Drosophila melanogaster: one gene and its partners. The protein of the gene in region 1 purifies or fractionates together with the protein of each later gene. This does not show direct contact. Each region holds a gene or a part of one and is shown in the gene's direction. Other genes may lie near its edges.

Region 1 (10,722 bases):
AACAAAGATAAGTTTGAGTTTGAAATTCAATAAACAAAGTTTGCAGTTCTGTGGAATTTTGTAGACCATATGCCCAAAGGATGTAATATGACCATTAATAAGTTGCTTTTGGGTTTACTGAAAACTAAGCAAAACGCTGTTAGTACTTAAGTAACCACACACATATCTATTACTTGAGGGAATGGGTATGCAATAGTCGAGCCATAGGACGGCACTGTGCTCTCTGGTTTTTGCGTTTATATGATATAGTAGATAAAAGCTTAATACACCCAACTTACTCCCAAGCATCTGGCATTTGAGAGTTGTTTACATCACTGCTCCATTGATGATCTTAATTTCTTGGGCCCTCCCATTGCTACGCTTTCCTTCCATTGCAATTCCCTGAACTTTTCAACTCTCGACAGCGTCTAAAGTGGACCAGACCCCACCAGATCGGATGGGATCGGATTGGATCGTTTGGCATGGGATTGCAGAGAGTGGAACATCTGGGCATGCCGGGAATTGCTGTCGTTGTCGCTTAAGTGGTCGCCCCACTTCAAATGGGAGTTCTCCTCCACTCCAGCAATAGTTCACTTCCCTCGGCCTCGATGATTTTGTTTATAAGCGTTTAAAGTTTAAACGAACCCATTGTTGCGGTTATTGTCGCCGGGCACTTCTCTTTTTTTTTTTTTTTTGCATATTGCGCCGGATAAGTTGGATGAATGAACTTGATGGATGACTCACATTAGAGCGGACCCTATATTATTTCCCGGGAATATCAGCTAGACCTACTACTACGCCGCCTGTCGTGTCTCCCCCTCGATGATTAATCGAATTTCAAATTTTACGCTCTCACACTACGGGGTATAATATATATATACTCGAATCGACTCGTATAGTAAAGCGAGTGCTGACCAAATGAATCAATTGTTTTGCCACACACAATCACGAATACGAATCCACATTCAATTACCCAATTCTGTGACCATGTGGACTATATACGTTTTATCTGCGTTTCATAGACGTAAGGCATTCTGGTTTTAATTTTTATATGAAATTTTGAACTTCTTATTGCACTCATTTCTCATAAGATTTAGGTATTCAGATTAAAACGATCTTGACTCTCTGCATGTAACAAAATATACAAGACATATATTAACTATTTGCTCTTCAATTATTGTCACCATAGATTTGACCGAAATGTGTCACACTTTCGTGTGGTGAGATACTCGTGAATTGTACCCAGTGCATATAGATAGTATAGTATAAAACACTCTCTATATACACGTTCTGTCCAGATATCGTTCGTATTTATAGTGGCTGGGCAAAAAGAGCGATAACAATGACGAGCCACCCAAGAGTGATAATTATATAGAGCTGAGTGCCAGTTTACATTATGAATGACCGGCCATAGATGGTGGTGTGGAAATCCTGGGGATTATATGGTAAAATTGATAGGCAAATCAAAACTCTGGATCCATCAAGGGCAGCAATAAGCAATATCCATATATGATAAATATAAAACTTAAAATCCAGATACTATTTTCTCAAAGGCATTATTTCAGATGAAGAGGTTTGAGTTTTGATAACGATAAATCCATTGAATACTTGGAGTGCCATTTAAGCCAACTTTGATTTATGTGTATATACATATGTATGTATATGTATGTATCATATTTCGCTGCTGTGATCCATTATTTTGCGCAATTATACGATCTAATAGGGCTTACTTCCGTTGCGATAATATTTGCCCAATCCAAAAATATATATATTCAAACACATTATATACATATATCCGTGTGCAATATGAAAACGCTTGGACTTAATTCATATTTATATGTTTGCATGCAAATAAAGTGATGCATTCATGCGCATTTGCAATTGGATAGTCATTTATTTATTCGCATGAATCACTTGCGTTCTCCCCTTGCGTTTTTATGCTTTTCTTCTTTCGTTGCATTGTTATTTTGCTAATTACAGCAGTTTCCATGGACCAAGTGCAATGGCTATATGATAGTGCACTGCGAAAAAAAAAACGTGCATCTAGTTTGCATGTCAACGACTGTGTACTATTCTCAGAGTGTTTGATAATTAAATTGATAAGAGTTTTGATAGTACTTGGGATAATATTGCAATAACTGAAGTTGCAAGTACAGAAACAGATATAGAGAATGATATTTTCCCTGTGTATATATACGTATTCTCTGATTCTGATTCACAGACTGTGTTTGAGCTTTGTTTTTGTTTATGTTTATAAGCGCGATAAGAGCGGCGACAGTAAAAATAAGCTGAGTTAACTGTTCGTCCCTCATTCCGGGATCGTATTCATGGTGCAAAATGTACAAAAACTGAAACTGAACTGGAGGAAATGGGCACAGATAGTTCCACACTCGACTTAACGCTTCCATGGCCCCAATTATATAAGACCAGGGAGTGCGAAGAATCGGAGAGCCAGAGGGGGGCAGTGTTGGGTTAAGCGATCTCGCGACTTGCGACTCGATTTCCAAGTTGTTTGACAGCATTTTTTGTCGTATGTAAGTTGCCATCGATTTGTGATTTGATTTATACACAGAGAAACGAGAAGACAGGTAGAAAAAGAAGAATCCACAAAGCGATCGTTAGAGGGTAAAGGAAATCCCAGACACTTGATTACCTGGACTATCGCGAGGAGAATACTAAGCGTGCAGCTATGCCGTTCATCTGTAACTCTTTTTGCCAACGAAATACGTTTAAATAAGAATCTTTAGGTGTACCTACTGAAGGGTTACAGATTTATGGTCATTTACCATATTGTTTTGACAAACCTTTAGTTCACTTGATGTGTTCCAATTGTAAACAAGAAAAAGCTATTAAAATAAGTAAGAGATGATAGATTACAGCTCTTCCCATTTAATATAAATATAATGCACATAGAGTGAGCAGCTAACATTATCTTTTAGTAATCATAATGTTTACGGATCATAGATACATTAGGCTCTAAAAATCCAAATATTTGTCAACTCACGAGTTTGTTGTATTTCACGTACCCCAACGAACTTATGCATAGTGTACTTTATTTATTACCATAACTAAAAGATCTTGAGAGGCTTTTATTTATTTAGCCCAATTTTCGGACTTATCGCCTGGATTGATCGATTAATTTGGTTATTGATTCTTCTGCGAAAGTCAAAGGGAAAAGCGCATCCAATCGGAGAATGTGTGTCGGCTGTCTTAATATGTTTATAATTGACTTAATTGCCAAACAATTAAGAACAGCAACAAAATGTGTCAAACGATGGAAAGAGAGAGAGAGAGAGGGAAGAGCGGTGGAGAGATGGAGCGAAGAAGCGCAACAGGTGACACCTGTCCCGCTCGCACAGTCTATCGCTAAATGGGAGCGATAAGCAGTTAGAAGCGAAATATATGTGTGTCAAAAATTATCATACATACAAATGTGTACACAGCCATAGTGGTTTTATAAATTTAGGAAAAAATATCATTATATTGCATAAAACGCATAGGTGGCAAAAACACTAAATTAAAATATAATACAAATATATAAACATATACTAACGAAATGTTTTTAAACATTTCAAAGTATAATGATTAAAATTCACAATGTTATCAATATTGCCGTATTTCGCATTATTTATATTTGATTTATTGTAGATATTACTATTATTTGGCACATAGCTGTCACTAAAAATTATCAGCCAACTAACACAGACACACAGCCCGTATGTAAACACGGATTGATTAGAACGCATTGAAGAGAGAAGAGACCATTGAAAATCGAAGCCCGCAGAAAAAGAGATCGCAAAGAAACTGCGGCTTTCAAATAAAAATAATAAAAATCGCTTTTACCTTTCGCTTTTTCCTTGTTAAAAATTTCGTATGCAGTTTCTGCGTGGTCAACTTAACTTCGTTTTATATTCACAACACACACAAACACAACCAGAGCACAACAATAAAAAACGAAAACAAAGAGTGTGAGAGAGAGGGAGAGAGCGGTGGGCGAAAAGCAAAGTCTCTGCTAAATTGCTAAGCTGATTTCCCACACATATCGATATTGCACTGATATTTTACTGCCGCAACTAGTTGACACATTTCCACAAACATTTCGGCCCAGTTTACTAATATTTGTTTATTTATTTATTATTCTTGCGGAATGAATCACTTGCGGAATGTTTCACACACACATACGCGCGCGTACGCATTGTTTGCATCTGTCTCTCTCTCTCGCGCGATCGATGTCTTTTTTTGTTGTTGTCTCCAAAAGGGAACAACAACTATTCGCTAAACAGAAGTTGACAATTCGCGGATGGAAAAGTCATGACCAGAACAAGATTCTTTGTTTTTGTCCCCAATGCCCGCTTTCCGAACCGGATTTTCCGATCCGAACGATCTGCGACCGATCGAAGAATACAAATGCATAATGTAATATAACGGGGCGCGCCTAGTGTGACCGTTGGCGGAAAGACAGCGAATGCCGGCAAAACTAGTTACTAAACTAGTAGCTAGGATACAAGTTATTAATTTTAGTTATATGTAATAATGTAAATTTTAATACTAACGTTCTTTCCATATAACTGAAACATTTTATATCAATAGTTAACTGAATATTATCTCGGCATGAATGCCAGATTTAAGTTTTTTGCCACAGCAACTGGAATTTACCGGATTTTTAAATTTTAAAGCAGCGCCCACGGTAAAATCAGTAAAGCACTTTAACTATAGTGTAATCATTTAAGTAAATTTGTACGTATAAGGAATTGGAATTGGAAGGAATTTGTTTTCTATTTAAAAAACGATATATACCGCACTGCCAGCTATCGATAGCAAATAATCGGCTGGTCGTGATTAAATGTAAAAATTACTTCCACGCTCTGGTAACACTGCATTGTATACCAGAAAAAAATGGTATTAGCATTAGCAGAGAAAAAATCAAATAAATAAAGAAAAAATCAATTAAAAGTGCGCCATTCCAAAGGATTATCCCAAAAGACGCGATCATCCATATCAGATGCTTAAGAATCGGCCGGAAAATCCGACATCGAACTATTAGGCTAGTGAAAAAGTGCAAAATAAACATTCGCCCAGTGGAGGGGGCCATACAGAAAACACTCGAGAGTCTTTCGAAAATACACATATTATACCACACGGATCGTTTTGGATCTACAATGGCCACCAGCGAGATCTCGAGCTCCAATGAGCGGCACTACTACGCCAAACTGGAGGCCATCAAGGACATCAGGGACAAGACGCTGTCGCTGGAGAAGCTCAAAGTGCGGATCATCAAGGAGGTGAAGCTGAGCGACGACGAGGAGAAGTGCCTGGAGGAGTACCGCAAGGAGATGGAGCACCTGCTCGAGGAGAAGATGTCGCACGTGGAAGAGCTGCGCCAGATCCACGCGGACATCAACGACATGGAGAACATCATCAAGCAGACGAAGGAGAACCAGACCCGCTCCTTCGACATGGCCAACCGGGTGTACGAGGAGTACCTGGCCCTGAAGTACCAGATTGATCACATGCGCCGCGACTATCTCGGACTAAGCCCGCTGCGAGATCTGCACGAGGAGGAGGGCAGTCCCATTTCGAAGGATCGCTTCCAGACCAACTTCCTTAAGGTGGCCGCCCAGTCGGCGGCAGCAGCAGCTGCTGCAGCTGCGGCGGCGGCCTCGGTTAATCAGAACTCGTCGTTGGCCCGTCCGCATGCCCGGCATCCTCTGATGCCGGAGGCCACGGTCACCGCGCTGCCTTCTGGCGGCGGACAGGGCGGCGTTGGTGGTGGCGGCGCTGCAGGCGGTGGCGGAGGATCTGTGGGCGGCGGAGGCGGTGGTGGCGGCAATCCTGGACACGCCTTCATGCCACCCGCACCGCCGGGAGCAGGCAGTGCTGCTGCCGCCGCCGCTGCTGCTGCAGTGCGTCTGGGCAAGGGTGACTTCTCAGCACCACCGCCACCGCCGCCGCCCAGCAATCGACTGCAGCAATCGCCTTCGATCGGCATCGGCCACCATCCCTCGTTCCGCTCCGACTTCAATGTGAATCTCCGCCAGCAGCCGCCGCCCATGAAGTCCTGTCTGTCCTGCCACCAGCAGATCCACCGGAACGCGCCCATCTGTCCGCTCTGCAAGGCCAAGTCGCGCTCCCGCAATCCGAAGAAGCCCAAGAAGAAGAACAACTAAGTGGCCACCGCTCCAGACCAGCAACTACACTCATCTTAAGTCCGGAGCTGGTTCCGGAAACTCAGCGCACTAAATCGAATGCGTTTTTTTTTTTTTGCCTCATCTATTTATTATTAATCCCAATGAAAAGTATTACAACGACGCAAGGCGGGTGTGCTCATGATTATCGGAGAAGATTTAAAAGAATGTCAAATACTTGCATTAATATTTTATACATTACTAGTGTATTTGAAAATCGATGAAGAAATTATTCATGACACGCCGGCCGCTAACAAATTCTCATAACAATTTTAGTTGGTAAACTCAATGAATTTGATTTTTATTTTAACTATAATCATAGGCTAAGTATTTTTTAAAAGCTCAAATAACGTGTCAAATTATCGAGAACAAAAATTTTGTTTATACATGTAAGCCATGCTAAATATGCAACTATGTTATATTTAAGCAGCAAAAAAAAAACACAAATATCAATAAAAATATTTCATTTTTAAATGGGTTCTTTTGGTTATAGATTAAATTATTTGGATTATTGGATTTGATTTTATATGTGTGTATTTTAATACAATAACTATAACTGATGTTTATATACTTGCATTATATTTTATACATTTTACATTTGCCATACATCGTTTGTGAACTAAAGAGTATTGTAGATATACAACGTACTAAAATTTAGATCCATGGTATTTTGGCCTGTCCCTGCACTTGGTCACACCTAGCTTAAGCCGAGCAAAAAGTTCGGATTTTTATTCAATTTTTTAATCCAGCCCGCAAAACAACAAATTCGTATTGTTTCAAATTGTTTCAATTGCAATTTTAGTGAAACATAGCAACAACCAGTTCAAATTGAACGCATCAGTGCACTTGGTTTTCTTTTTTTTTTTTGTTTTTGTGGATCAGTTTGTCGTTTTTGTTCTTGTTGTCGCTGCGTGCGTAGAATTTGTGAAAAGAGAAAGTTCTGCGCCGCGTCTTTCTCCGCCTCTCTTTCTCCAATTCTTCGCACAGTCGTGGCCAAGAAGTTGCGCCTGCGCAGCGACAATTTCACAAGAAATCGAGGTCGATCGCAAGTGGGTAAGTATCTTTCACGGAAAGTGGCCCAAAAAGTGATGTTTAAAGACTGGAACTAAAATAATAACAATAAATTAATTATATATCCTCGAAACTCTTTGCTGTATGTAGTCTTCATAAGAGTTTTCTTTATAGGCCACCGTTCTTTATTCGTTGATTTAAAATACGTAAAGCTTATCTTCAATCAGTTAAATGTGCTACATCAAATCGTGTTACTTTACTTAAAATATTCATATATATTTTAATATATTGTTATGTGTTGTATATTAGATATGCTTGTTATGTTATTGCTCAGCGTGCCACTATTTCAACATATATTACGCTAATATATTAAGCTAATTAATTATTTCATAATTGCAATTTTTTGAATAATCGTTAATGTTGTACTACCAATATACATATGTTTATTATGTTATGTTGTTTTTTAAAAGTTGTCCTCTTTCCATAATATTGTTAGTAAAACTACTTCCGAATTATTCCGTTTATCATAACAATTTTGCCCCCTTCCCTTGCAGTAATCCGATTGGAACACCATGGGCACCACGCAGACAGTATCTCCAGTGGCTGGAAAGGATAAGACCAACGATACCTCCAAAGGATCTCCCTCGAAGGCTAAGTCCAATGGCCACGCGCAAGGCAAGACCAAAAGCAAGGAGATGAACGCTCTGCCGCCCCAGAAATCGGTGGTCATTGCCTATCTATGCTGGCTTTTCGGCGGAATCTTCGGCCTGCATCATCTGTACTTGCACCGTGACCGCCACGCCTTCATTTGGTGGTGCACCCTGGGTGGCTACATGGGCATTGGCTGGATGGGCGAGCTCTTCCTGATACCCGAATATGTACGGGATGCCAACGAGGATCCCAAGTTCGTCAAGATGTTCGTGGCCAAGCTGCAGGCGTATCCGAAACCGCCGTACTCCTCGAAGAGATTCGTGGGCCAGGTGATGATCGGCCATCTGTTCGGCCAGGTGTGCTCCATGGCCATTCCGGAGACCCTGGTCGGTGGCTGGGATCTGAGCTTCCTACACTGGACGATTCCGCTGTTTGTTTCGCTGGGCGTTTGGCTGGTGGGCAACATTGGCCGGGAGCAGGGTGTATGGTGGCACTGCCTGGTGGCCGCCTATCTGGCGTATCCGGCCAGGTATTTGATATATGACGAGACCTACTCCCTGCTGCTCACTGGTCTCGTGGCGGCACTGACCTTCGACGGCTTGTCCAAGCAGTGGCGCAGGACTCCGCCGCGCAGGGGAAGCCCCGGTGAAAGGACCTTTAAGCTAACCACCGCCGTGATCATCTACTGCGCCTTCTGGGGCAGCTTCCTGTATTTCAACGGCACCATTTCGGACGAGGACGGCGGCGAGGTGCCCATTCACGAGGCCATCCATAACTTCTTGGCCTCCGCCTGGTGGACAGATCTGAAGCAAGCCCTGCTGGACACCTATAACTATGCGCAGCATCACGGCTGGTACGAGACCTGGAAGGAGGTGTTCGAAAGCATGGATGTGGATGGCGAACGAAATTCGTACAAGGTCTTGGGCGTAAGTGCCACCGCTTCGCAGGCAGAGATCACCGCTGCGTACAGGAAGCTCTCCAAGGAGTACCATCCCGACAAGGTCAAGGACGAGGGCTTGCGGGCCCAGGCCCACCAGCGCTTTATCGAAATCCAGCAGGCGTACAGTGTGCTCAGCAAGATCAAGTCCAACCGGCGGCGCAAGAACAAACAGTACCAGGAGGAGGAGGCCATCGTCCTTTGAGCGGCGCTTTCCTCCATCTAGTCTAAGTATTTATAACGACTAGGAAGTAAGATTCTTTAAATGCGATTACTTACTTAAAGCAATAGTACCTAAATGCTGCTATAGCACATATTGCGAATTCTCTAAATGTTATTCATATTAATTACCTAATGGTGTTTTTAGCTGTATCTGTTTCCACATGTATTTATTACCATAAATCTGCGTTGTTTATTGTCAAGACTGTGTTTAAAAATATTAAAGCACCCCAAAATTCATTCAAAACACCAAATGCTAATCGAAAATTTCCTTATACTGGGTATCTTATTAGTCGGTTAAATCGACTGAACTGTTCGTCGACGCGAGTAGAAAAAATAGAAAATTAGCTGCGCTTACGTTTCGTCCGTTAAGAAAATACCTTTAACTAATTACCGCGTGACCGGCACAACATTACCAAATCACGTTTCCCTTTCTCAGTGAAAGAATTCATTTTAATTAGATTTATATTCATTTATTTATTTTATATATTTTACATAATATAATGAACTACTTACAAGACTAAGCAAAAAAAAAAAAAGAAAAATATTTATTGTAATTTTTTTTCTCACAAATTTGTTATGTGCGTGTATTTTTTCCATTAATATTTAAGTAAAACGTTTAAATAAAACGATAAAAAATGTATATATATCGTTTTGTAGATGTGTTTATGGTATATATCATTAGATTTCACTTTAGTATTAATTGCCATCGCAGCGAGTTTGTTGAAGAAGAAGAAAAAATCAAACTCGAAATCGGAATCGGAAAAACAAAAAATCGTAAAAATAGGGTTTACGAAAAAAAATATATAAACAGGAAACAATAACTCGCTTAATTTTAGTTTAAAACATAATACTGAGCAAAAAATGTGTATATAACATTTTGCCTACTAGATTTTTTGCTTTTTTGTTTAAAGATATTTTTATATATTAATTAATTGCTTTTCGTTTTGTTTGTTTTTCCATTTTTGCACTGATCCATCGAATATATATATTTTTTAAATATATATATTTCAAAAGGACCAGTATCATTAAGCTTTACAAATTTGACTATTTTTATATATTTGTTTTTTTTTTTGTTGTGACTGTTTTTTTGTGTTTCGTGTGGGCGTGTGTAGATTATCACGTTTTCTTTTTTCTTTTTCAAAAAACAAAAACTCAATTACAAAAAAAGAGGGGTTTTACAATTTTCGTATAGGGATAGGCTATATTTAAAATACGTTTTAAAATAAAATAACAATTTGTTAGGCATCGTACACACACACACTGCTGCAGTGTGTGCGTCTTGTATATAGGTATATAGGTGTGTGTGTTTTTTTTTTGTTTGTTTGTATGATTGTGTGATACCAAGTTTTTAAGAACGCCCCATTTTTCAAATATAAATGTATCGATTGTAAACTGCTCTTGAATTTCGAAATGCATATTTCAGAAACTATTTGTTTGACTTGCATTCAGCAAATAAAAAACACTTGCGAATTTAAGTCGATCGATTATATCGATTTTTTCGATAGGTCTCGATTGATTTATATTTGAAAACAGGAAGTCCGTTTCAACCGAGTACGAGTGTGCTTACACCTAGACTAACACACAAAGGATTTGCATTTCCGGGGCTTCTCACTGCCTTTGCATTCAATAGCATTTCGCTCTTTTCGATCTCTTCTCTGTATGTACAAACTAAAGTTAAGCCAAACTCCGTTGGACTTTGAGCTAAATGGTTTTTCTCTTGCAGGATCGGGTTTTCGT
Region 2 (10,935 bases), on another chromosome or scaffold:
CTGCCATGGGCTTTTGTCTCCGAGTCCTTGGCCTCCGGTTCGTTCTCCTCCGCTTGGGCCAACTGCTGCTGCCGTGCGAACTCAATCTGGTGGCGTATCTTCCTGTTCTGCTTCTTTCGCTTCTTCTTCTTTTTGTTACGCTCCGCCTTGCTCTGCTTGCCGGTCTTTTGGCTGGCACTCCCGTTCACCTGGTTATCCGCATCCTCCTCGCTGTCCTCGCCCACATCCGCTTCGTCGCCGTCCTGGGTAGCACCCCCACTGCCACCCTGCGAATCGGCGTCCACCGTGAACTCGGCTGCCCTTTGATCCTTCAAAGCCAGAACGTCCTCCAAGGCCTTGGGCAGGACCAGTTCTCCGGGCGTTTTTTCGGCATCAACAGCATCTTCGGAGGCATCGCCGTCGCCATTGGCATTACCATTGCCGTTCTCATTTCCATTGGCCGCCGCACTTTCGTGCTGCTGCTGGTCGAAGCGAATGGACATGAGCGGCGTGGGTTGGCCGGGCTGGAAGGATTGGCATTCAATAGATGTCTTGCCGATTGGGTTTCGCAGCAAACTCACCTCGTTGTTCAACTGGTCCGCCATAAATTAAATTAATCTTTAAAAACCCAAACCGAGCCGAAATTTTTTTATAAACCACAATTCTAGTGATGCGCGACAAGATATTTTTGTACCACCGAGACATATCGATATATTCGATATGAAAATGCGAGACCCTAAATCAAGCTGGCAACGCAAAGGACAGGGCGATCTTAGTACGAAAAGCGTGGTTTTTGCCGACAGCTGATTTAAGGAGGTAAATATTAAAATATTTCATAGATTACCAGTTTAACAATGCTAATTTGTCCATTTCAGTACGATATTTAACAAGCAGTATCTGCTAAAATCAAAACAGTTCAACACCCTACCTTCTAAGCATGTTCAAATTTAATTTTGATGTGAAGGCGGAATCCTCGGAAGATCCAGAGGCCGTTAAAAATGATATTTTTAGCAAGCAGGAAAATTCAGAAGAACGTGAGTCGGGTATCACAAAGGATATAGATTGGTACAATTCGGAGAAAGTACAACCACTGGATAACCTAATTTCGGCAATGGATTTCTATGAGCTTAACGCCAAGGAAATGGAGGTGGGAAAGATGACGATAAAACATCTTGTGGCCGGGTTTCTGCTGGAGGATTTAAAGGAGCAATCCCACTTGGTAAACCTGGATCTCAGGAAGTCTGAGGAAAATCATTCAGATCTGATTTCCGGTGTCTACGAGGGCGGTGCTAAAATATGGGAATGCACTGAAGATCTTCTACTATATCTATCCGAAAAGTACGAGGACTCATTCTGGAAGGAGAAAAGAGTCCTAGATTTGGGATGTGGCTGCGGATTGCTGGGTATATATGCTATGAAACACGGCGCACGGGTGGATTTTCAGGACTACGTAAGCAAACAATAAGTCTTGAAATAGTTTGGTTGCAATCATATATTTTCAGAACAAAGATGTGCTGGAATACATAACATATCCAAATATCCTGCTAAATTTGGACGACTCTTTATCTGAAGATGAAAAGCTGAAATTTTTAGACAACAGTACAACCTTATATTCTGGAGATTGGTCTCATTTTGCTGAACTATCAAGGGATGTGGCGAAATACGATCTAATACTTACCTCTGAGACTATATACAATATTGCAAATCAGCAAAAGCTCTTGGATACCTTTGCTGGTCGCTTAAAATCCGATGGAGTCATTTTGGTTGCCGCAAAATCTCATTATTTTGGAGTTGGTGGCGGCCTGGAACAGTTTTCAGAGAACATTAGGCTGGGAAATGTTTTCCAAAGTGAGAGTGTTTGGCAGGCAGACGAAAACTTAAAAAGAGGAATCTTGCAATTGAAATTTAAATAAAATATATTTTGGAATTATTTATAACACAATTCTTAAACTTTGTAATAATGATAAGAGATCTAAGTTCAAAACATAGCGGTAGCATAAAACAAGTTGGCAGCCCACTTTACACGGGGCACCCTGTAAGGGAGGGACGTTCGTCAGCTGTGTTGTTGTAGTTGTCGTTATTCCGGAGAAATTGTAAGCAAATTCGTTGTACTCCAATAAAACAATTAAAATGGACCCACCCGGATCTGATAATTACTTTTGAAACATTTCTCCACTCGGCCAGTAGGGCGTGCACTAATCTAATCTAAACTGTTTCCGTACACGCTGCTCGGAACTCATTAAAAAACGTTCGCCGCGCCATTTCCTGTCCAAATCGATGTTCTTGATGACAGCCGGCACCTCCAATTTTCTTTCTGCAGCCTGGAGATCAGAGGCTGAGGAGTCCAAGAGTAAGGAGAACGGGAGTCTCTGCTGCTGCGAGTACGTGGCTGAGGACAGTCGAGAGCGATCCCACATCCTAGGATGCTGTTGTAACTGCGTGGACTTCGACTTAGTTTGCACAAGGTAGGATACATAAATGAAAGGCCGTCTACAATTAAAATTAAATTTACCACAGACTTGTCACCTGCCGAGCCATTGATCGAAGGAACATCGACGGCATGCTCATCGCCTTCCAGGATAGACTGCGCTTGCCATGGCGCGGAGGAGCCAAGCGAATCTCGCCCGCAGCCGTTGCTCCCGCCTTCATTGTCCCCCTCATGCTGGGATTGGCCACTCTGAACTCAAAGACCGCCATAGTGCTGATGCTCACGCTGGTGGGCTTCACCATCTGGGGCATGGAGCTGGCTAAGCGGACCGCCACGCGGACAAACTTCTTTTTGAGCTGGCTGGTCTTCTCGGTGTTCTACATGATCATCATATTTGAGTTTCAGGTTCCTCTGCTGGAGCTGGCTCCGGAGGAGAACTACGCGTTAATGTTCTTCTCCTGTGCCGCTTTGTACTGCCTCTATTCCGCCAAGGCACTGTCGCCCTTGAATCTTGTTTCTGCTCAATACGGAACCACGCCCAAGGATGAGCTGCCTGGGATCGCCGAGGCTTCGAGTGGCGAGGAGCAGGCAGAGGCCCAGACCACACTCCAGATGGAGAGTGTGCTGAGTTTGGATGATGACGAGGTGGGGGATATGGACACTGCTGAGCGATCTGGCTTGATGCACGGTCAGCCCAATATCTGCGAGATCTGCCGGAAGGTTACTCCAAGGCGGGCATACCACTGTCCCGTCTGCGGAACCTGCGTGAAGAGGCGCGATCATCACAGCTACTGGCTAAACTGCTGCATTGGCGAGCGGAACTACGTGTGGTACATTGTTGGACTGGCCCTGTCGGAGATCGCTCTGCTGCTCGGCGCAAACTTGACCCTCACTTCCATTTGCCATCCGTTTATGGTGGTGCGACCGCTTGGTTATCCAGTTCTTTTGCCCGACGACTGCAGTGAGGTGTTCGAAGGCTTCGAGTGAGTAGATACTTTGTTTCTATTTCCAATTAACGTTTCTTATGCACACTCTGTTTCTAGCCTCGGAATCTCCTTTGTGGTGGCTTGCTACGCTCTGCTCATTTCTTCCTACATAGCCTTTATACTCGCTAGACAGGCTTACTTGTGGTGGAAGGGATCCACCTTGCACGAATACAAGCGCACCTCCAACGCCGCAGGACGCAACAGAATCTGGAGCAACTGGCGAGCCATCTTAAAGTGACTACTCACACACCAAAAAGCAAAAAGCACAAGCATGTCGCTTAGATACTAAAGTATTTCAAATCTTAACGCTGTTCTCGGTAGTCGTACTTAGTCGTACCGCTTTGAAGTCTTTATTGCAATTTAAAATTGATTTAAAATAAATATAATTAAGTAACTCAAAACGCACAACGAACAAGAGTAATAATGTTCTATCTAGTAGCTACCACAAGCTGTCCTCTCTCGGTTTGTAGTCAGGCAAGAGCTCCCATATTTTCATGCGCCACCGCTGGCGTCGCTCCTCCGTTTCCTTCTCGATCTTCAGGATTTGCGGCAAGCGTCGCCAGCAGTCCAGGACCTTCCATTTCAGGTGCCTATTAAATTGGTTCAATTGAAAATGATACATAATACAGTGAATTCTATTTTACAGGGACCTACCACTCATGGTGCGAGATGGCCTGCCGAGTCTTGCTGTCTTCAATCATCCGGCAGTGCGTGGAATACTTGTGCCACCGCGCAAACCAGTGTTCCATGGAGCGCAGTGCATGCCAATCGATCGCCACTAGCATCTTGCTCTTTTCATTCTGCACATACAAAATCCACGCATACAGAGCGCGCCGCTTGAGGATGTTGTGCCAACAGATCTCCGCCTTGATGATCTTCTCGCGCTGTCTGTATGTCGAATAGCTGTGCCACGAACTGAAGGAGTTCTTTGTGATCAACTGCCATTGGAATATGGAAGGATGTTAGTGAGGAAAAGCTACACCCATATGAAAGCTTACCCGGCAACGGAATTCCTCGCTCTTAACAAGATTCTCACGTTTCCGCTCCAGCAGTCGTTTGAAGCCTTCCATGCCCGTCCGTTTTAAAAGTTTGCGACTGAACTCCACGGCCTTCCGCTGGTTCTCAATAAAACGTTGACGCTCGCGCTCCTTTAGCACCTTTGCCATTTTCTCCTGGCGACGCTTCTCTTTAAGGACCTCCATTCTGAGCCGTTTGGCTTCCTCGTCCTCCTGGCGCTGTTTACAAGTTCAGGTAGATTAAAGCTTTAAATGAATGTAGTAACAAACCTTAGCCTCCTCTAGAGCTAGCTTGGCTGCCTCCCTTTCGGCTTCTGCCTGAGCCCTCCGCTGACGAGCCTGCTCATGACGCATGCTCCGCTCTGTGGCCCGCTCCTGCATGTGCTGCAGAAACCGTGGCTGGAGCAGGGCTTTGCCCTGCAGCCGGTCCATCTCCTCGTCATCCGCATCGCGCAGGTTGCCGATCAGCTGCAAGCACTTCGCCTTGGCTTTCGCCTTAGGATCCCCGCACCGGATGACCGTTTTGAGTTCCTGTTTCAGATCCTCGCGGGCCTCCTTGGCCTCGTCACTGAGCTTAGACAGCTTAAGCTGCATAATAAGTCGCTCTTGGCGCTCCAGCTTGATGCGCTGTAAGTCAATGATGTCCTGCTGCACTTTGAGTCTGGAAGAAAGAAAACAGTATTAGAAACATTTGTCATCTGTGTCTAGCTGAGACCTACTTGTTCTTAAACTGCTTGGCCATTTTGACGGCCTCCTCGCGTTTCTCCAGCGATTTTTGTGTGGTCTTGCTAGTCTCGGCCACAGTTTCTGTGCGCTGACGCCTCTTTTCCTGTCGCACCTTGTCCAGAAATGCGTTGATCTTCTGCACCCGGGTGTCTCGCGCCTGACACGACTGCCCTTGCTCTCTCTCAATTTTTTCCATCGTTGTGAAGTGTATCCACTTGAGAAAGTACTTGCGCATCACTACCAACTGGGTGTTTGCCCTGGCCTGAAACAGCTGCTCGATGATCTTCTGCTTCTCATGTGTGGGCTCCACATCCGACTCATCTTCACTAGAGCTGGACGGCTGTTTGAGCTCGGGTTCCTTGGGTTTGACGACTACTTTCGGCAGTTCTATGCGGCGGATGAGCAGCGGTTCCTGTTCAGGCTCAGCTTCCGAATCTCCAACTGGATGTGTTGTGAGTGTTGGACTCTTCTTTGGGGGCAATTGAAATTGCACAAGCTTTGGCGGAACGGGCAACTCCTTGTCAAGCTCTTCATTCTCCTTCTCAGCTGCTTCCAATTGCAGTTCATATAGCGCTTCCTCGGCCAAATCGGATATTACAGAGTCTATGCCATCGCTGGTGTTTGAGCAGGTGGAGGATTCTCTTTTTAGTGAGGAAGGTTCACCTTCTGGTTGCTGCGCCTGCTTGTTCTCCTGCAGCAGGTCCTCCTCGTGGCGCACGGTGCGGACATGGAGCATTTGGCGCTCGGCAGCCGCCCGCATGGGACGAAAGAACTCCTCGGTGGAAGTGAGAGGACTTGGAGTGCGGCACCGTAGAAGCTTCGCCTTGCTCTCATCCGCCTGGACTTGCTTGGTGAAGTTACGATACTCAAGGGCATCAAATGAAATCACTTGCTCCTCTATAAACGCGGGTATCTCTACCACCTGCGCTTCCTGCTCCGTCCACTCACAATCCATGTCCGCCTCCGCCTCCTTCTCTGGTTCTGCCCTCAGTTGCTGGATCAGACTCTTGGTTGCCTCCGACTTGGTCTCGGAGCACATCTGTGCCATCTGACTCAGAGCCTGGACGGGAGTGTTATAGAAGTTATCTATGTGCTGGGCTGCCTGTGCCAGACTCTTCACCAACGGTCCATTGTTCAGCTTAAAATCCGGCTTGGTTGGCGGCACGCGGTGGGACTTGGTCCGCTGGAACTGCCTGGACAACTGCTGGCGAAACTTCTGTAGTTGATTATCAATGAAACGCTTCTCCACCTCAAGATTGTGCGCTTTGGTGGCTTCCAGGGAGTTGCTTGGGTCATGGGCTATGGTGGCCAAGGGAAGTTTGTGTGGTATCTTCTGAAACTATTTGAATTTCTTATTAATCATTATAATCCCTTATATTTACCATTTTATGCCGCATGTCCATTATCAGACCAGGATTCAGCTGTTTAGAATCTTCTCCTTCAATCAGAAGCCTCTCCTGTCGCCTACCAACGTAGTCCGTCTCGATTAGGCGACGCACTGCATCCGTCTTTAGTCCCAAAGGGTTCGCCTGCAGGTGGCGCTTGCGTATGCGGTCCCAGCGAGTCTCCTTGCTCGGCTTCTCACGTCGCTTAGGATGCGACATCTTTATAAAACAATTCTTTCACACTGTGATAGTTAAATTACGTCTACTCAATTTAAAAATGATTTGTGAACTTGGGAAAATTTCGTAAACAAGTTGAACATATTGTCCTGACAACGAAAACTGCCGGCCGGGGTGACTTTCCCTATCAACCATTATTATTATTAGGATAGAATCTATTGGGCAGATATTATTTTTTATACCGCCATTTGAAAAAAAAACCTTTATCCCCTAATAACAAAGACTGTCGATTGCATTCAAAGCACAGCTTGATCCAGTTTAATCGTTATAAAGTTTCTATAAATGCCATAAATATTAGATAAGTCGATAAGTAACAAAAATTTTGTGGACTTTGCAAGCTTAGTTTAGCAGTATATTTCGTAGTAAATTATGTGAACTTTAGGCTTAACCGGCGGCAGGGTCCTTCTTGGTTTTCTCCTTTTTGCCTTTCTGCTTCTCGGCGGCGGCCAACTCCAGATCAATGGGAGCGGGCTTGACGAACGGAATCTCATCCTGGAACTTCGCCGGCATGTACTTCTTCAATGGCTCCGGCACCTTGATGCCCGTCTCTGTCTGATGGGTCTCCAGGATGGCGCAGATGACGCGAGTGGCTGCGCACATCGTGGCGTTCAGCATGTGCACATAGTCTACGGCGGCGTTCATCTTCTTAGTCTGGCCGAAACGGACGAGCAGACGACGGGCCTGGTAGTCCAAGCAGTTAGAGCACGAGACAAGTTCCCTGTAAGCGCCGCTGCCGCCGAACCAGGCCTCGAGATCCAGCTTCTTGGAGGCAGCATGGTTGAGGGCACCGGAAACGATGTTAACAACGCGATATGGAATGCCCAGCGACTGGCAGAACTGCTCCGCATTCCCGATCATCTCGTCCATCATCTCCCACGACTTGTTGTCGTGTGGGGAGGTCAGTACGAACTGCTCCACCTTCTCGAACTGGTGGACGCGGAAAATGCCGCGAGTGTCGCGTCCGTGCGAGCCCACTTCCTGTCGGAAGCAGGTGGACAGACCAGCATACTTAATGGGCAGCGAAGACTCCGGTAGCCATTCATCGCGATGGTAGGCGGCGATAGGCTGCTCTGAGGTGGCGATCAGGTACTTCTCATCGATGCCCACCTCCTCCGCCTTCTCGCTGCCCTTGCCCACCACCTTGTAGAGCTCCTCGTCGAACTGTGACAGCTGGGCCACCTCCTGCATTACCTCCTTTCGCATGAAGAAGGGCGTGTACAGGGGAACGTAGTCACGGGCGTACAGCAGGTGCAGAGCGTGCTGGATAAGAGCCTGCTCCAAAAAGACTGCGGCTCCGGTAAGAAAGTAACCACGTCCGCCGGACACCACGGCTCCTTTCTCCGCGTTCATGCCGTCGATCATCACGATGAGGTCCACATGCGAGTACTTGCCGCGCTTTTCGCAGTCGCCAAAGGTGCGCTCCACGCGGTTCTCGTCCTCGTCGTTAGACACAGGCACGGACTCGTGCAGGTGGTTGCCCACCTCCCGCAGTGAGGTGTTCCTCGTCTGCTCGGCAAGCTCTAGCGACTTCTGGTTCTCGGTCATTGCGTCGTCGATGAGAACGCGTAGCTGCTTGATCTGGTTGACGGTCAACGGCTGCAGTGTCTCGGCTACAATCTCTGTGAGGTCCTTGGTCACGTCTGCGGGCAGGTCCTCGCTCATGGCACCAACCGGCTCCTTCTTCTTCATCTTCTCGCCGATCACCTTGCTGCAGACGTTCTTGACCTTGTTCAGGTTGTCGGCACGGTGGCGGCACTGACGCCACTCCGTATCCTTGGCGATCACAGTCTCCACCAGCGCCACATCCTTGAAGCGCTTCTTTTGATTTTCGCGCACGAGGTCCGGGTTGCCCCCCTTGTCGCTGCGAAACAGATCCAGATCCAGCACCATTTTAGTTACCCTTTATTTCAGTTTCAGTCGCGTATTAGCTTCGATTCTCTCGCGTTTCGTCGGCGTTTTCACAACGTGGCTAGGCTTTTCGTCAGCTGGGCAGTGCTGGAAAGCGATGGTGGTAAGTGCATATTTTGGCTGAGATTATGACGAAGTTCATTCTTGTGACTCATCAAATTTCTAAGTGCTTCTGAAAAGTTAACCCAAGAATTTTATAATGTTTTTTTATATTTTCTGTTTAGTTATTTCCCATAAGAAATACCCTTTATAACCAGAATAACATAACTGACAATATAAATATCGCTTAAAACGTACACTTTATTCGTCATCATTTGAAACATACATGTCAGCAATTCACAACACTACTTGCTTTTAGCAGCTGTTCAAAATAGTCCAATAGGAGGAGAACAGCAGCGAATTCGCAACAGATTCCGACTTCAACAATGAGCTTTATTGACCAGGAAGTCACGGAGTTCCGAGCAAAATGTGAGAAGCAGGTGCCGCACACGAAGATCATTATTTGCTCCAACTCGCTGATCCGGGTTGACATATACCCGGAGCGGCCGAATCGCTCGATGACTATGTGCCTTCGATTTCCAGAAAACTACCCGCAGAGCACCCAAATTCTGGTGGAGCTGAAGAGTCGTGTGTACTCCGAAATGCTTCTGACGGAGCTTACCCGGCTGATCGACGACTATGCCAGGGATTTCATCGGGAAGCCACAGGCATTGCAAGTGCTGGCCTTCGCCCAACAGTATTTAACTGATAATCCGCTGTGCGTGTGCTTGGAGGAGATCAAGCAGCTGAGAGCGGACATCAAGACTGGAGGCACGGAGAGCCAGTTGAAGCTGAAGCAGAAGAACAAAAGCGTGGAGCTGGTCGCCAAGGGCGGACGCTACACCTACAGAGTAATCGCTGTTGTTCCGGACAGCTATCCCATGCAGAGTGTGGAGCTGCGCGGTCAAGATTCCAATCTCCCAGCCGTGCTCGTGCGTTACCTAAACGGCCAGTCAAAGGAAATAGCCCGGCAGTGCGTGGAGCCACCGATCCGTATGAGCAAGGAGGCTCTAGCCAATTTTCGGCCTGTTAGGAGTCTGCAACGCTCGCTGAAATTCTGCCTGGAAGCCACCCGGGACTTTCACACCGAGCGTTGTCCCATATGTGATAGTACCGTGCTACCCGAATACCCAGAGGACATAGAAACGGATGACAATGCCGACTTCTTCATCGAGCGCGTCTACTGTGGTCATCTCTTTCACCAAGGCTGCCTTAAGAAATACCTATCGGAGCCTCCGTTTCCAAAGGGTGGCAAATTATGTCCCGCCGCGCGTCGCCATCCTCGTTCCGATGCCCAGACCTATATGGGCAGGTCACAGGGAGGAGGAGCCACCGTTTCCAAAACTCCGGAGGACACTGTGTGCGGCATCAAGCTGGCTCACGATCGGTGGGTGGTCAGCGTAAAGACCGCAGAGGCGCGCTGGGCCCAGAAACAGGCTCGCCAAAGAGAACTGGAGGAGGTGGTCGACTTTCTGCAATAACAGATGATCGACTCAAGAACAGCTTACTGTGTATGGTTATGTATTTTGTGATTTCTATTCGAATACGCTTATATTGCTAAAGATTAAATAAATAAAGTGAAGATGAAGTGCGACTAGGTTGGTTTGGGCAAGTGTTTCGTCTATCCTGTTAACGCAATTGAGCACACTGCGGTGTTACAGTCTTTTTTAAAGATTTAAAAATAAAATAATAAATTAACTAGTCTAAGGAAAATTTTCAATCAATTTTCGGTTTAGGTTGTGAGAATCAGGCAAATGCTCTTATCAAATTCTGCGAAAGTGTTCGAGGAAACTTGTTTGTTAGATGTACGCCTAAGTTTTAGTTACAGAATTTTAGATTGCAACTATAACCAGGCTTGGTAGTTCGGTCTAGGATGAAGAAATTTGCTGGAAGCCCTTTGGTGCAGGCTTATTTGGCTAAACTTCAGAAATCCGTTACTATTTCGTCGTCCTCATACCGCTTGATGGGATCTCCCTTGATTAGTGACGAAATAAGGCTGTAAAGACAAGAATCAGATAACTTCGTAGAGATGAACATGCAGTTTTCAACGTCTAACTCACCAGTACAACCCCACGAAGAACATAACGAAGTAGTAGCCCAGATAAATCATACAATTTCTCAGATGGACCTTTAGCAATCCCCGACTGTGTATGTCCACCGGATCGTAGACACCCAGACTATCGCGCCGCTGGCGATGCAGCTCGTAGAAAAGCCAAATCACCATAGGCAGG
Region 3 (11,273 bases), on another chromosome or scaffold:
TTTCCTTCCAGAGATTTGCTACCAGTTCACATTTAAAGTACCATCTAATGAGCCATGAGAAACAATCAAAACACTCGTGCAGCGTCTGCCACAAAAGTTTCAAGCAACCAATTGTTCTACAGCGCCACATGCTTACCCACAACCAGGAGAAGCATTTGTGCCCAATCTGCCAGAAGGTTTTCCGCCGCAAGAGCTCTCTTGCCAGCCACCTGGCGATCCACAGCGATCTCGGCCTGCAATTTAAATGCGAGCTCTGCTCTAAGCATTTCCAGAACAAGGCCAATTTGAACCAGCATCTGCGGAAACACGACAAGAACAATATTCGGCACATGTGTAAAGTGTGCCAGAAGTCCTTTCTGCGACAAACCACGCTTCGGCTGCACATGAAGCGCCACTCAAATCGCGAACGTCAGTCCTGTTCCCTGTGCGGCAAAAGCTACAATGATCCGGATGCTCTGGGCCGACATTTAAGACAACACAAGACTGCCGAACGCTACCGCTGTATCCAATGTGACATCACTATCAACCGAAAGGACAACATGCTGCGACATCTGCGATCCATGCACCCTGGTTGTGCGTTTGCCAGTACTGTTGAAATGGTTACACCGAGGTCCAGTGCTCAGGAGGCCACGACGGCGGAAGAAAGACCATCTCAGACTGTAAGATACAACAGTGTGATCCAGAGTGTGGGCAACGTTGAGCCAGTGATGTTGCTGCAATCTACGCCACTGCCATCTCAACTCCCTGAACTGCAGATGGAGAAAGGGAAAGCTGTCCCAGAGCATCTGCCTCTGCCAGATGTAATGCCAGAGGAGAATGTCCAGCTGTATCGCAAGATCATCTTGGATCTGGACAACGAGGAATACTCTAGCGAACCTAGCCCCGATGCCCAAGAACCAGCCATGCAACATCACCAGCCGCGTGTCCCGGGGCAAGGTAGCTCCAAATTTAGCGAGATGCACTGGCGCAAGAATTTCAAATATTGGTACCAAAAAGAAGAAAACACAAAGTGACGATATGATCTCTAATGAGTTGGCCCTTTTTCAAAGGGGTCCTCTAATTTATTAGAGATCAGTCAGGTGCTGCGAACCGAAGCGAACCGCAGCAATCTTGTTGGCCGCTAGCCATATTTCCGCGTGCCGGCGTCACTGCCAAGTTCACCGGCCATCGGAAGCAGCAAGACCGCTTAATTTGCAACTAACAGTATTCAATATGATGGACGAGCAATCGGAACTCGAGACACTGCGTGAAATTTATTACCTAACTGATGATGCGTCGTGCAACTGGCGCAAGTTGCTTGTCCTGGGCGACTGCCTGGACCAACAGCTCAAGCGCAAGCTGCTCTGGATGTGGCCGACATCGGTGGACTTGGACTACTTTAATCAGCTGCTAGCCATGCACGACATCCAGCGAGTTTTGAGCATCGGCTGCGGCAGTGGGCTTTTGGAATGGCTTATGACAGTGTCTGGAGGTCGGAAAGTCCCCATGTTTGGCTTGGAGGTCGATCGCAACTGGTGGCAGAGCAAGTACTCCGTTCGAAGTTTTATACCGCTTAACTATTTAGAGGATGCCAGCCAACTGGATACGGATTTATTGACCAAATGCTGCAGTGACGTTCATCCGTGTGCCTTGCTCTTCTGCTACTTCAACAATCGAGGAGCTTTTCTGGACTATCTAAATGTGTATCAAGGAAAGTGGCTTATATTGATTGGACCATTGCCCGCCCTGGGAATCCACACAGATCCCAATCCCGCCCAGCCCCAACTGCCCATCGACCAGTGGATCCTGCGAGAACGCCTTAACTGGACTGACCACAACATTGTGGCATTCTACGAAAAGATAGCCTAGTCTAGTCTGTAGTATCTCTATAATTGTAGTAATAAACCATTGCCTTACATCCTAATTAGTTCCTGTTCACTTCTATGTGAAACTTGCAGGCGGGTATGCTTTGCACTTCGGCCGTCACGGTGCTGTTAATGCCTAGATTGCTGAGAGCTCCTCGCACCAGCCCGCACGTGAAGGCCACGAACTTGGGCGCGTGCTCCAGCTGCTTGGTGCCCGGCGAGATGCGAGTCAGAAAGCGGAAAGCCTTGTCCTGCACAACGTACATTCCGTGGTTGTTCGTCCTCAGGTTGTCCACTTGCTTCTTGTATATAAGCATCCAGAAGTCGGTGCATATAAACTTCATAGTCTCCAACTCGTCCTTAAAACGCGAAACTTCACGGGTGAGCCGCTCAATCAGGCGGTAGCCGGTGGTGAAGCCTATATACTCCAAAGTGGCCAGGTCGTGCTCCTAATAGGCGGAACCAAATCAAAATCGGTTGTATGACTGATTTTTTTTTGCGTCCCTCGTGTTCCTACCTTATTGCTATCCAGACAATAATTGACTATCTCTGCATGGAGGCAATCGAAAAGGATTTCTTCAGACATTTTCGAGGATTTAATTTTTCTTTGTGAGTTCAACAAATTTTTCCTCGGATTTGTTTTGATCTAGATTTAAACAGCTGTTGCAAGCGTTAACGGGCGAATGTCTTGTTTGCTTTTAGTGGTTTATTGTTATTACTATTATTTATACTTTAATATCAAGAGTATGTATAATTATTTTAATATGAATACTCTAAAATGAGCAGATTTGATAGATCTATTTAGCGTAATTTCAAATCATTTTATAACCATATATTTTTCGATGCATATATTTAGCTAAGCTGCACACATTTCTATCGCTGATCTGGCATCACTATTCAGTGAGGGGGTGTTTGGACAAAAACACAACAAAAAATGTATACAAAACAATTCCGATTAAAATTCGCAGAATAAGTGAATTAAACTTGAACAATTGACAATTAGTAAATAATCCAGTATGCTAGACCTCGTTCACAAAGCCACGCTGCATAGCATGGTCTGTCAGGCAATCCTAGTGTTAATCTGTTTGCTATGCTACGGATGCGGTGGCCTCAGTGGAGCGAAGTTTGTCTTCGATGATACGGTGGCCATCGTCAAGAACCGGGATGTCAACTCACTGCCCACCAACTGGACGGCGATCTTCACGCACGACTTCTGGGGTGCTTCCTTGCTCAGTTCCGATTCCCACAAATCATTTCGGCCACTGACCACCCTGATGTTCCATTGCGAGTATGCCCTTCTGGGGCTAAGTGCCGCCCACATGAAGTTCCTAAACCTCCTGCTACACTGCGTCAACACGCTGCTCATGTGGCGATTGATTCGCTCTCTCTATGTTCCGGAGGTCAGCACGGCAAGATGGGCCATCCTCTCCGCTGCTCTATTTGCCGCCCATCCAATTCACACAGAGGCGGTTTCTGGTGTGGTTGGAAGGGCCGAGCTCATGTTCGGCATGATTCACTTGTTGTGTCTTCTGCTGACCGTGGCCAATACCGGAAGACTTGGTCCACAGACTGGCGGTCTAATCATGCTGCTCACCGCTGTGGGAATGCTGTTCAAGGAGTCCGCTGTGACCATCCCCATGTCGTGTGTACTATTGGATTACTTTCAAAACGGCTACTATCATCTGCGATTCAAGGATCAGTGGAGTCTTTTGCGCACCCGGATCAGCTACTTGTTCTACTTGCTGGGTACCTTGGGTCTGCTGACGGCTCGCCTTTGGTGGCAGGACTTTGAGACGCCTACCTTCAAGGAAGTTGACAACCCCGTTGCGCACAATGAGCACGTGCTGACCCGTGGGCTCTCCCAGCAGTATCTGCTGGTCATGAACATCTGGCTGATGCTGTGCCCCCACTGGCTATGCTACGACTGGGCATTGGGTTGCGTCAAGTTGGTGACCAACATCTGGGATCTGAGACTGCAGGGCGTCATCGGATTCTACTCCATCGTATTGGTGGCTCTGATGAACTTCCGACGGCTGCCCGGAATGATGTTAGCTCTGGGTTTAATGATCGTCCCGTTCCTGCCCGCGTCGGGAATCATTTGCGTAGGATTCGTGATTGCCGAACGGACGCTCTATGTACCCTCCATTGGCTTTTGCCTGCTGTCCATCTATGGATTCTTATATTGGTATGACAGCAGTACGGAAAACACCCACTGGCGCACTGCTCTACGGATTCTTTTAATGCTGCTCTTTTCGGTTATGATGGTACGGACTCGGCAGCGAGCTACTGACTGGCTTAACGAGGAGCAGTTGTTCAAGTCCGCGCTACAGGTGTGTCCTGACAATGCCAAGGTACACTATAACATAGCCCGACTGGCCACTGATATGGGAAACAATACGAAAGCCTTTCAGCACTACCACAGGGCCATTGAATTGTATCCGAACTATGAGTCAGCTCTTATGAACCTCGGCAACCTGTATCGGGAGCACGGTCAACTATCCACCGCCGAGGAATACATTCGATTGGCTTTGCAGGCGTATCCCGCATTTCCAGCGGCTTGGATGAATCTCGGCATTGTGCAGTCGGCTCAGGGAAAGTACGACAAGGCTCTGGCCAGCTATGAGAAGGCCCTGAAGTACAGAGCCAATTTCGCCGTCTGCTACTACAACATGGGCAATCTGTATCTGGAGCAGAAACGTTACGCCGAAGCGCTTCATCATTGGCAGCATGCTGTGGCACTAAATCCCCGCCAGCCAAAAGCCTGGGCTAACATTCTGACAATGCTGGACAACAAGGGGTTGCAGGATGACGCCTTGCGCATCTCTAATCAGGCTCTCCAACATCTACCCAACGATGTCAGTATCCTTTTCATTCGAGCAAACGTGCTTGGCAAATTAAAACATTATACGGAGGCGGAGGCGATCTACAAGCGCGTTATTGAGCTGGAGCCCCACAACACATTGTACCACACGAATCTCGGAGTTCTCTATCATCGCTGGGACAAGACGCAGGAGGCTATAGAGGCTTATCGGACTGCAATAAGTATTAGTGCGGCTAGAGCAACGACAGCCCGGGAGAATCTCAGCAAGCTCTTAAAACGCCTGGAAAGGGAGGCGCAAGTCATGCAGAGATAAGCGTTTCAAGTCCCACCATCCAAATATGGATCCAACCAAAATCTTGGTTGTTTGCAAATAATAAGAGGTATGTACACTTCGCAAGCTGTAATAATCCCAAACGAAAGACGAGGTTGTGGGTTAAATTACTTATTCATAAAAGACATTAAAACTAGTTAGTCTAATTTAATTTTAATTCCGTGCAATATTGTATCTATATCATACATTCATATCCCATCAGCTAAAATCTCATGACACCCTAATTGTATTTAGTATAAGTTAGGATAGTTTATTCATTTACTCGAGGGTATATACAATTAATGTTAAAACTAAATAATGATCGAACAATTACAAGACGACTTACATAATTTAACTAAACTCTAGAACTAAGCGCTACATGAAATACTTCAAAGAATAGTGACAATTGTGGCACCATTGTAAAATAATTCAATTCCATTAAAGATTCATGATTTTAAAATAATAATACCGCAAATTACATAGGTTTATATATAACACATATAAACAGATCGGGCTGCTCGAACATGGAAATAGCTGAAAAACTTTGGCAGAATGCGAGACGACAGGTCGAACAAAAGAGAGATTAACGTGGACATCAGTAAATATTCAAGATACATGCATGCGTCTATGTACTATATGCGTAGGCGTAAAGGTACAACAAAGTCTTTGTGTTTGAGATACGGGTCTGTTGGGTTTTTCTGGGCGAGCAAGCAAGCAGCAGCGGCTGGCAACTAAATCAAATAATAATGAGCAAATAACACAGCTAGCACAGCAACAGGGTTATGTGGTGGTGGCGGCAACGATCTACAGCAGCACAAACTCTTCGCTTTCACTATCATCTTGGTCGTGCTCATCGCCGTGCTGTGGCGGCGCCAGTTGAGCGCCCAATTCCTGGGCCAGAGAAGCCACCTGTTTTATGAGCGGCTTGTACAGCGAATCGCTCATTTCGTCCCGCTCGTGATCCATGCAACGACCGCGGGAAAATGAGAACAATGGATAGTTCATCTCTGTTTGCTCGGTTTGATGGGATGACTGAGGCGTCGTATGATGGCTCCCGGCCGCCTTATCCACAGTTGCCCCTGAGGCGCAACGCATAGGATGCAAATACTGTTGAAATTAAGATATTTAATAGGACGTTGGAAAACGAAATGTTTGGCTTTTGCTTACCAACTGTACGCTCTCCATAAAATTGTCGAAATCACTTTTGGTGGCACAGTAAAAGCCGATACAACAACTAGGATCCATTTTGCTGGCCTTAAGCTTCCGCGGCGACTTGCAGTGAAACGAGTGCAGGGAGAAGTTCTCTTGGTTCACATCCACCATCTCCTGGCAATAGTGCGGATCCAAGTGGATGAGCCTGTCCTCCTGGAAGCCGACAAAGTACAGCGAATGCTTTGGCTTTCCACCAAGGATGCCCAGGCAGTGTTCTGTACTCAGCAGCAGCTTCAGACAATGGGCATACACAGGATTCAGTTTATCACTGCCCAGGCGCAAAGGTATCAGAACGATGAGGGACTTCCAGTGCTGTTGTTGCTCCGTTTTGGTAGTTTCCGCCTGCGGCCGCTTCGCTTGTTGCCAAGGCACATGGGGTTTTGGCGCCGGTTCCGGAATGCTGCATTGATCCTCAATATCTTGCAAGTAAACTAAAACAACACAAAGACGGTTATCAAATCACATACGTTATCAATTGAGCCCCTGAGTAATGAGCTTCGCGAACAAGGTTGCAGCAATTACTCATGAACATATCAATGTGTCATGGTAGTTATCTTATGAATCTTTGATTAAGGGATTCCTTTCTGCTTGAACTTACTCGTGCAATCTTTGGCTACATAGACACTAATATTGTCAAAGTCTGCATTTTCCTGAGCCGCGTGCTCTAAGGCGTGTCTGTGGTGAAGTTGAAGAGTTGTTTGATTTAATAAAGATTAAAAAAGCGATAAAGATCTGTACTCACTTAAGCAAATAGGAAACAGAGGCGGGACCGTACCAATCGCCAGGTTTTTTACCCAAATGCTCCCCCAGCCGCACCAGGGCGTGGATGGAGAAGGGACTGCTTTTTGAGGAACTGTCCCCGAACCACTTGACGATCTTCTTATGCATATTGTCCTCGTAAGTCGAGTGCAACTGGGACTCTGAATCATAGCGCCAGCCTGAAGCATAAAGGTTTATTGGTAATCAAACATATTTGTGCGGGTTCATTTAACTTACTTCGCCCTAGGAAGTGACAGATGAGTCCTTGAGCGAAGAGCATCTGACCACTCCTTAGCATACAGCCCCAACCGCAGTCCGAGGTGTAGTTGGAGCCATTCATTATTGGGAACTCTCGACGGTAGGTCATCCAAATCCTACTGTAAAAGTCACGACGAAAGCCTTCGATGCCCTCCTCCCAAGGCTGTTCGCCCACTTGGTTCTCCACCGCGTCCATTCCCAGTTCCTGGGGCACCACAATCTCATCGATCTGCTGCGGATTAAGGGCTGGATACAAGGAGGTTGATGTCGATGTGGCCTGAATGCTGTCGAACGCCGATGTGGCGTTATCGGGGGTGGTATCCGCCCCGCTGGGCAGCTCGGTGATGGAACTTTCCATGCTTACGGGCGGAGTAAAGCGTCGATGATAGCACCGTCCTAGCAGCCACACGGGCTGCTCCTTTGAGAAGCTGGTCTGCCTCATCTTGCCGCTCCAGCCATACTTCACATTGTGCCACATTGCGACGAGCTTGGACTCCATGCCCTTGGTGGGAGTACGGTTTGCCGACAGGTCACCGGGTTCCTCGTTGTGCTGCTCCACGTGACCGCAGCTCGGACCGCTGTTGCCGCCGCCGTAGAGCTGACTGAAGGCGTTCATGAAACGTGATGACGTCGATATTTTGCGCTGCGGAGTCGCTGTCGCAGCGTTTTCCGTCTTGAGGTTCAGATTGGCACCTGATGTGCTTACGGGGGAGGGGGAAGGGACGCGTGGAACGGCGAATACAGTGCGATGAATCGTCTGTATGGGGGCCGCCTGCTCCTCCTCGATGGCGCCGTCCTCCACCAGCGGCAAGGAGAGCGGATCCGCATCCTGGCCGCATATCCGGCTACCCTCTACAATGGTCCCCTCGCCGGCGGCTTCGAAGAGCATCAGTTTTTCGTCGGTCAACTTGGAAAGGAGGCCGTCATAGTTCATCTGGTTGGTGGCCGTGGACGAGGACATGAAAACAGAGGCGGAAGTGGTAGAAGAGCTATGACGCTTTGTCCGCAGCTTGCGGAACTTAAAGAACTGCGGCATTGTAATCTTGGTGCGAGCCCCTTGCTGGCCCTGGCTTAACTGACAACCGACCACCGATTGCGTGCTAATTACAAATGTTTACTCACCGTTTATTTGTTGACAAAATAAGATAAAGTAACTCCACGAAATTTGTTTTTCTTATTCGCGAGAAGTACAATTGCCAATTTCAGTGTTGCCAGACTGCAAATCTGCTCTATTATGAATATGTAGGTAATGTGTGTTCTTTTTTACGTTTATCTACTAATGAGTTCAAAATGAATAGTGAATTTTGTTATCAACAGGTTTGTGTTAAACTATTTTTAAACAATTTGTATCTTTATCTAAAATTCTTATACATATAATATTTGAATTAATAAATTAAAAGGCGCCTGGTATAGGTCTGCCCTTGGCATGTCCATTTAATAGTAATATTTTACGCGGAAAACGATTTCTGGAACACCCTTATTTACTTCCGGCATGTGTGCGGTCTGGCAGCTCCGCGACAAGAATGACCAGCTGTGCGGGTGCTAAAATTCTATTGCGCAACGCTGAATTTCTAAACACTCGCTTCGCCCCACACACAACATTACTGACGACAGCCGCTCAAAATGGTAAGTAATGCAAATTCCTGCAAATAGAAGCGCTTAGCTAATCGAAAACAATTCGATGTCGCCGTCCAGCAGGGCCCAATTCAAAGGTTGGTGTACACATTTGGTCATCGCACCTGTAGCCAATTGCCGATGATCGGCGGAGCAACGATATCCCAAACAAAACCAACAACAATGGCTCTCTCCGTTCGCCAATCCTCCTCCTCCGTGCTGGCCACGGAGTCCTCTAACAAGGGAATGATTATTCTGAACCGGCCCAAGGCGCTTAACGCCATCAACTTGGAGATGGTACGCAAGATCTACAAGCACCTGAAGAAGTGCGAGAAGTCCAAGTCGCTGGTGATCATCAAGGGCACAGGTGACAAGGCCTTCTGCGCCGGTGGAGATGTGCGCGCTCTGGTCGAGGCTGGCCCTACGGATGAGTCGAAGAGCTTCTTCCGGGAGGAGTACAGCACGAATGCCCTGATCGGAAACTATAAGATTCCCTACATCGCCATCATTGACGGTATTACCATGGGCGGTGGCGTGGGTCTGAGTGTGCATGGCAAGTACCGGGTGGCCAGCGATCGGACACTGTTCGCCATGCCCGAGACGGCGATTGGCCTCTTCCCGGATGTGGGTGGATCATACTTCCTGCCTCGACTGCAGGGAAAGCTGGGCCTCTATCTGGGTCTCACAGGATATCGACTGCGCGGAGCCGATGTCTATTACTCAGGCATTGCTACGCACTACTGCGAGAGCAGCAAGATCCCTGATCTGGAGACGGCTCTCCTTAACTGCCCGGATGCGGATGATGTGCCTGAGCTGCTGCAGAAGTACCATTCCCCGCCAGAAAAGCCCTTCTCGCTGCAGCCTGTCCTGGAGCAGATCAACAAGAACTTTTCAGCGGACTCGGTGGAGGGGATTCTAGAGAATCTGCAGAACGATGGCAGTGAATGGGCCAAGAAGACGCTTGAGGTGAGTGGGGCACAGTTTACTAAGTGATAAGAACACAATCGGATGTTAATTGGCTGGGCCAATCATCGCTTGACGCGCGCTTTTAGCGCCTAAATATTTGATCCGTTTCCAGCCAATTAGCAACGCTTTAGTTGCTGCACGACTTTTCTTAACTGAATAAGTTACACTAGCTCACAAACTCACACCCCACACCTTGTTGCATTTTTCTATTAGAGTTGAATTTTATTATTGAAATCAGACACATTGCTTTTTTCTTTGTTTTAGACGCTCTCGAAGATGTCTCCCACCTCGATGAAGGTTACGTTCCGTCAGTTGGAGCTCGGATCACAGCTGTCGCTGGCTCAGTGTCTTATTATGGAATATCGTCTGGCCGTGCGTCATCTGGAGCGAAGTGATTTCAAGGAGGGAGTGCGCGCCCTACTCATCGACAAGGATCAGAAGCCCCAGTGGCAGCCAACCAAGCTGGCCGATGTCACTGAGGAACATGTGCAGTGGTTTTTCCGCAAGCTACCGGACACCGAGGAACTCAAGCTGTAATGTAGCAAGCTTAGTTTTGTTTTTGTTTGAGCCTTGGCATCCAATCCTGTTTGTCTTCCGTTGAGCCGCTCATTCTTATATGCACACAACTTAATATCTTTGTATATATCATTGCAAGCTTGAGTTATGTTATGCATGGTTCCTTGCCTGCCGTTTTGCAATATTCTTTATATATCTTTAGCGTTCTGTGGCCACAGTTTGATGAGTTCTGTCGGCTAATTTTCCGCAATCTCTTCTCTGTTTCATTCCAACAGCGAATAACTTCGAGGAAGAATCCTATTCGCCGGTATTTACCAATAACGATTGTGAAATTCAATGCATTTAAATATATGATATACATATATGCCTATATATATTATGTACAATTCGTAGTCCTAATACAATCAATAATTGTGCCTAAAGAATCGTTAGAATTCGTTTACCAAGAATAAAAAGAAGTGTATACGTTTAATAACTGATCGTTGTTGGTGACTAAGCGCTGTTATCCTTTAGCTTGATACTGTCCTCCACCATGTTTGTCAGCTCGACTAGCTTATCGATCTGGGTGGCCTGAAAGTTTAGTTTGCACAGCTCCTGCCTCCAGGATGTGACATCCACTCGCAGTTGGACGCGAATCTTATCATCGTCAGACATTACAGCCGAGCTTCCAGTCGAAACAGTCGCGGCTCCGCCACTTTTTACATTTCGCAAGCGTCGCAATGACTCCTCGGTTTTCTGTACGGATGTGAGCACATCGCTCACCACATTGAAGTACCTATAGTGCGAATAAAAGTTCAGAGAAATTCGAACCCATCGTAAAATTATACTCACGCCTTGGTTATGTGACTAGCAACTTCCGCCAAGATTTGTTCCACCACCAGGGTGCCAAGCTGGGACTCGTTCTGCTGGGCAAATGCCTTCAGCGGTCGCAGCATTTGCTCCACATAGCTCGAACATCGTGTGGGAACCTCTC

Evidence for each region.
Region 2: the proteins of CG13001 (region 1) and CG17260 purify together in Drosophila melanogaster (affinity purification with mass spectrometry, with the first as the bait; one large-scale study listed by BioGRID). This does not show direct contact.
Region 3: the proteins of CG13001 (region 1) and Hibch purify together in Drosophila melanogaster (affinity purification with mass spectrometry, with the first as the bait; one large-scale study listed by BioGRID). This does not show direct contact.

The regions. Positions count from the first base shown.
Region 1 is NC_004354.4:16,936,999-16,947,720, reverse strand, and holds CG13001 (uncharacterized protein), read left to right. Parts: upstream 1-4,849; 5' UTR 4,850-5,138; coding exon 5,139-6,146; 3' UTR 6,147-6,635; downstream 6,636-10,722. Other genes in the region: wus (wurst), read left to right, coding at 7,748-8,968.
Region 2 is NT_033779.5:3,028,504-3,039,438, forward strand, and holds CG17260 (uncharacterized protein), read left to right. Parts: upstream 1-8,726; 5' UTR 8,727-8,768; exon of another isoform or gene 8,769-8,900; intron 8,901-8,907; exon of another isoform or gene 8,908-9,026; 5' UTR 9,027-9,090; coding exon 9,091-10,185; 3' UTR 10,186-10,290; downstream 10,291-10,935. Other genes in the region: Sf3b2 (splicing factor 3b subunit 2), read right to left, coding at 1-503, 561-584; CG17219 (uncharacterized protein), read left to right, coding at 917-1,429, 1,482-1,892; GABPI (beta4GalNAcTB pilot), read left to right, coding at 2,257-2,444, 2,497-3,390, 3,451-3,631; CG17258 (uncharacterized protein), read right to left, coding at 3,833-3,983, 4,048-4,331, 4,392-4,628, 4,680-5,070, 5,129-6,474, 6,518-6,739; SerRS (Seryl-tRNA synthetase), read right to left, coding at 7,142-8,647; cnir (cornichon related), read right to left, coding at 10,628-10,700, 10,765-10,935.
Region 3 is NT_033777.3:15,348,491-15,359,763, forward strand, and holds Hibch (3-hydroxyisobutyryl-CoA hydrolase), read left to right. Parts: upstream 1-8,738; 5' UTR 8,739-8,827; coding exon 8,828-8,830; intron 8,831-8,899; coding exon 8,900-9,784; intron 9,785-9,990; exon of another isoform or gene 9,991-10,048; coding exon 10,049-10,321; 3' UTR 10,322-10,773; downstream 10,774-11,273. Other genes in the region: CG42726 (uncharacterized protein), read left to right, coding at 12-1,013; CG42727 (uncharacterized protein), read left to right, coding at 1,213-1,848; Trs33 (TRAPP subunit 33), read right to left, coding at 1,904-2,293, 2,362-2,430; Tmtc4 (transmembrane O-mannosyltransferase targeting cadherins 4), read left to right, coding at 2,861-4,978; Atg4b (Autophagy-related 4b), read right to left, coding at 5,780-6,082, 6,143-6,618, 6,786-6,862, 6,930-7,125, 7,184-8,138; Cog2 (component of oligomeric golgi complex 2), read right to left, coding at 10,793-11,075, 11,132-11,273.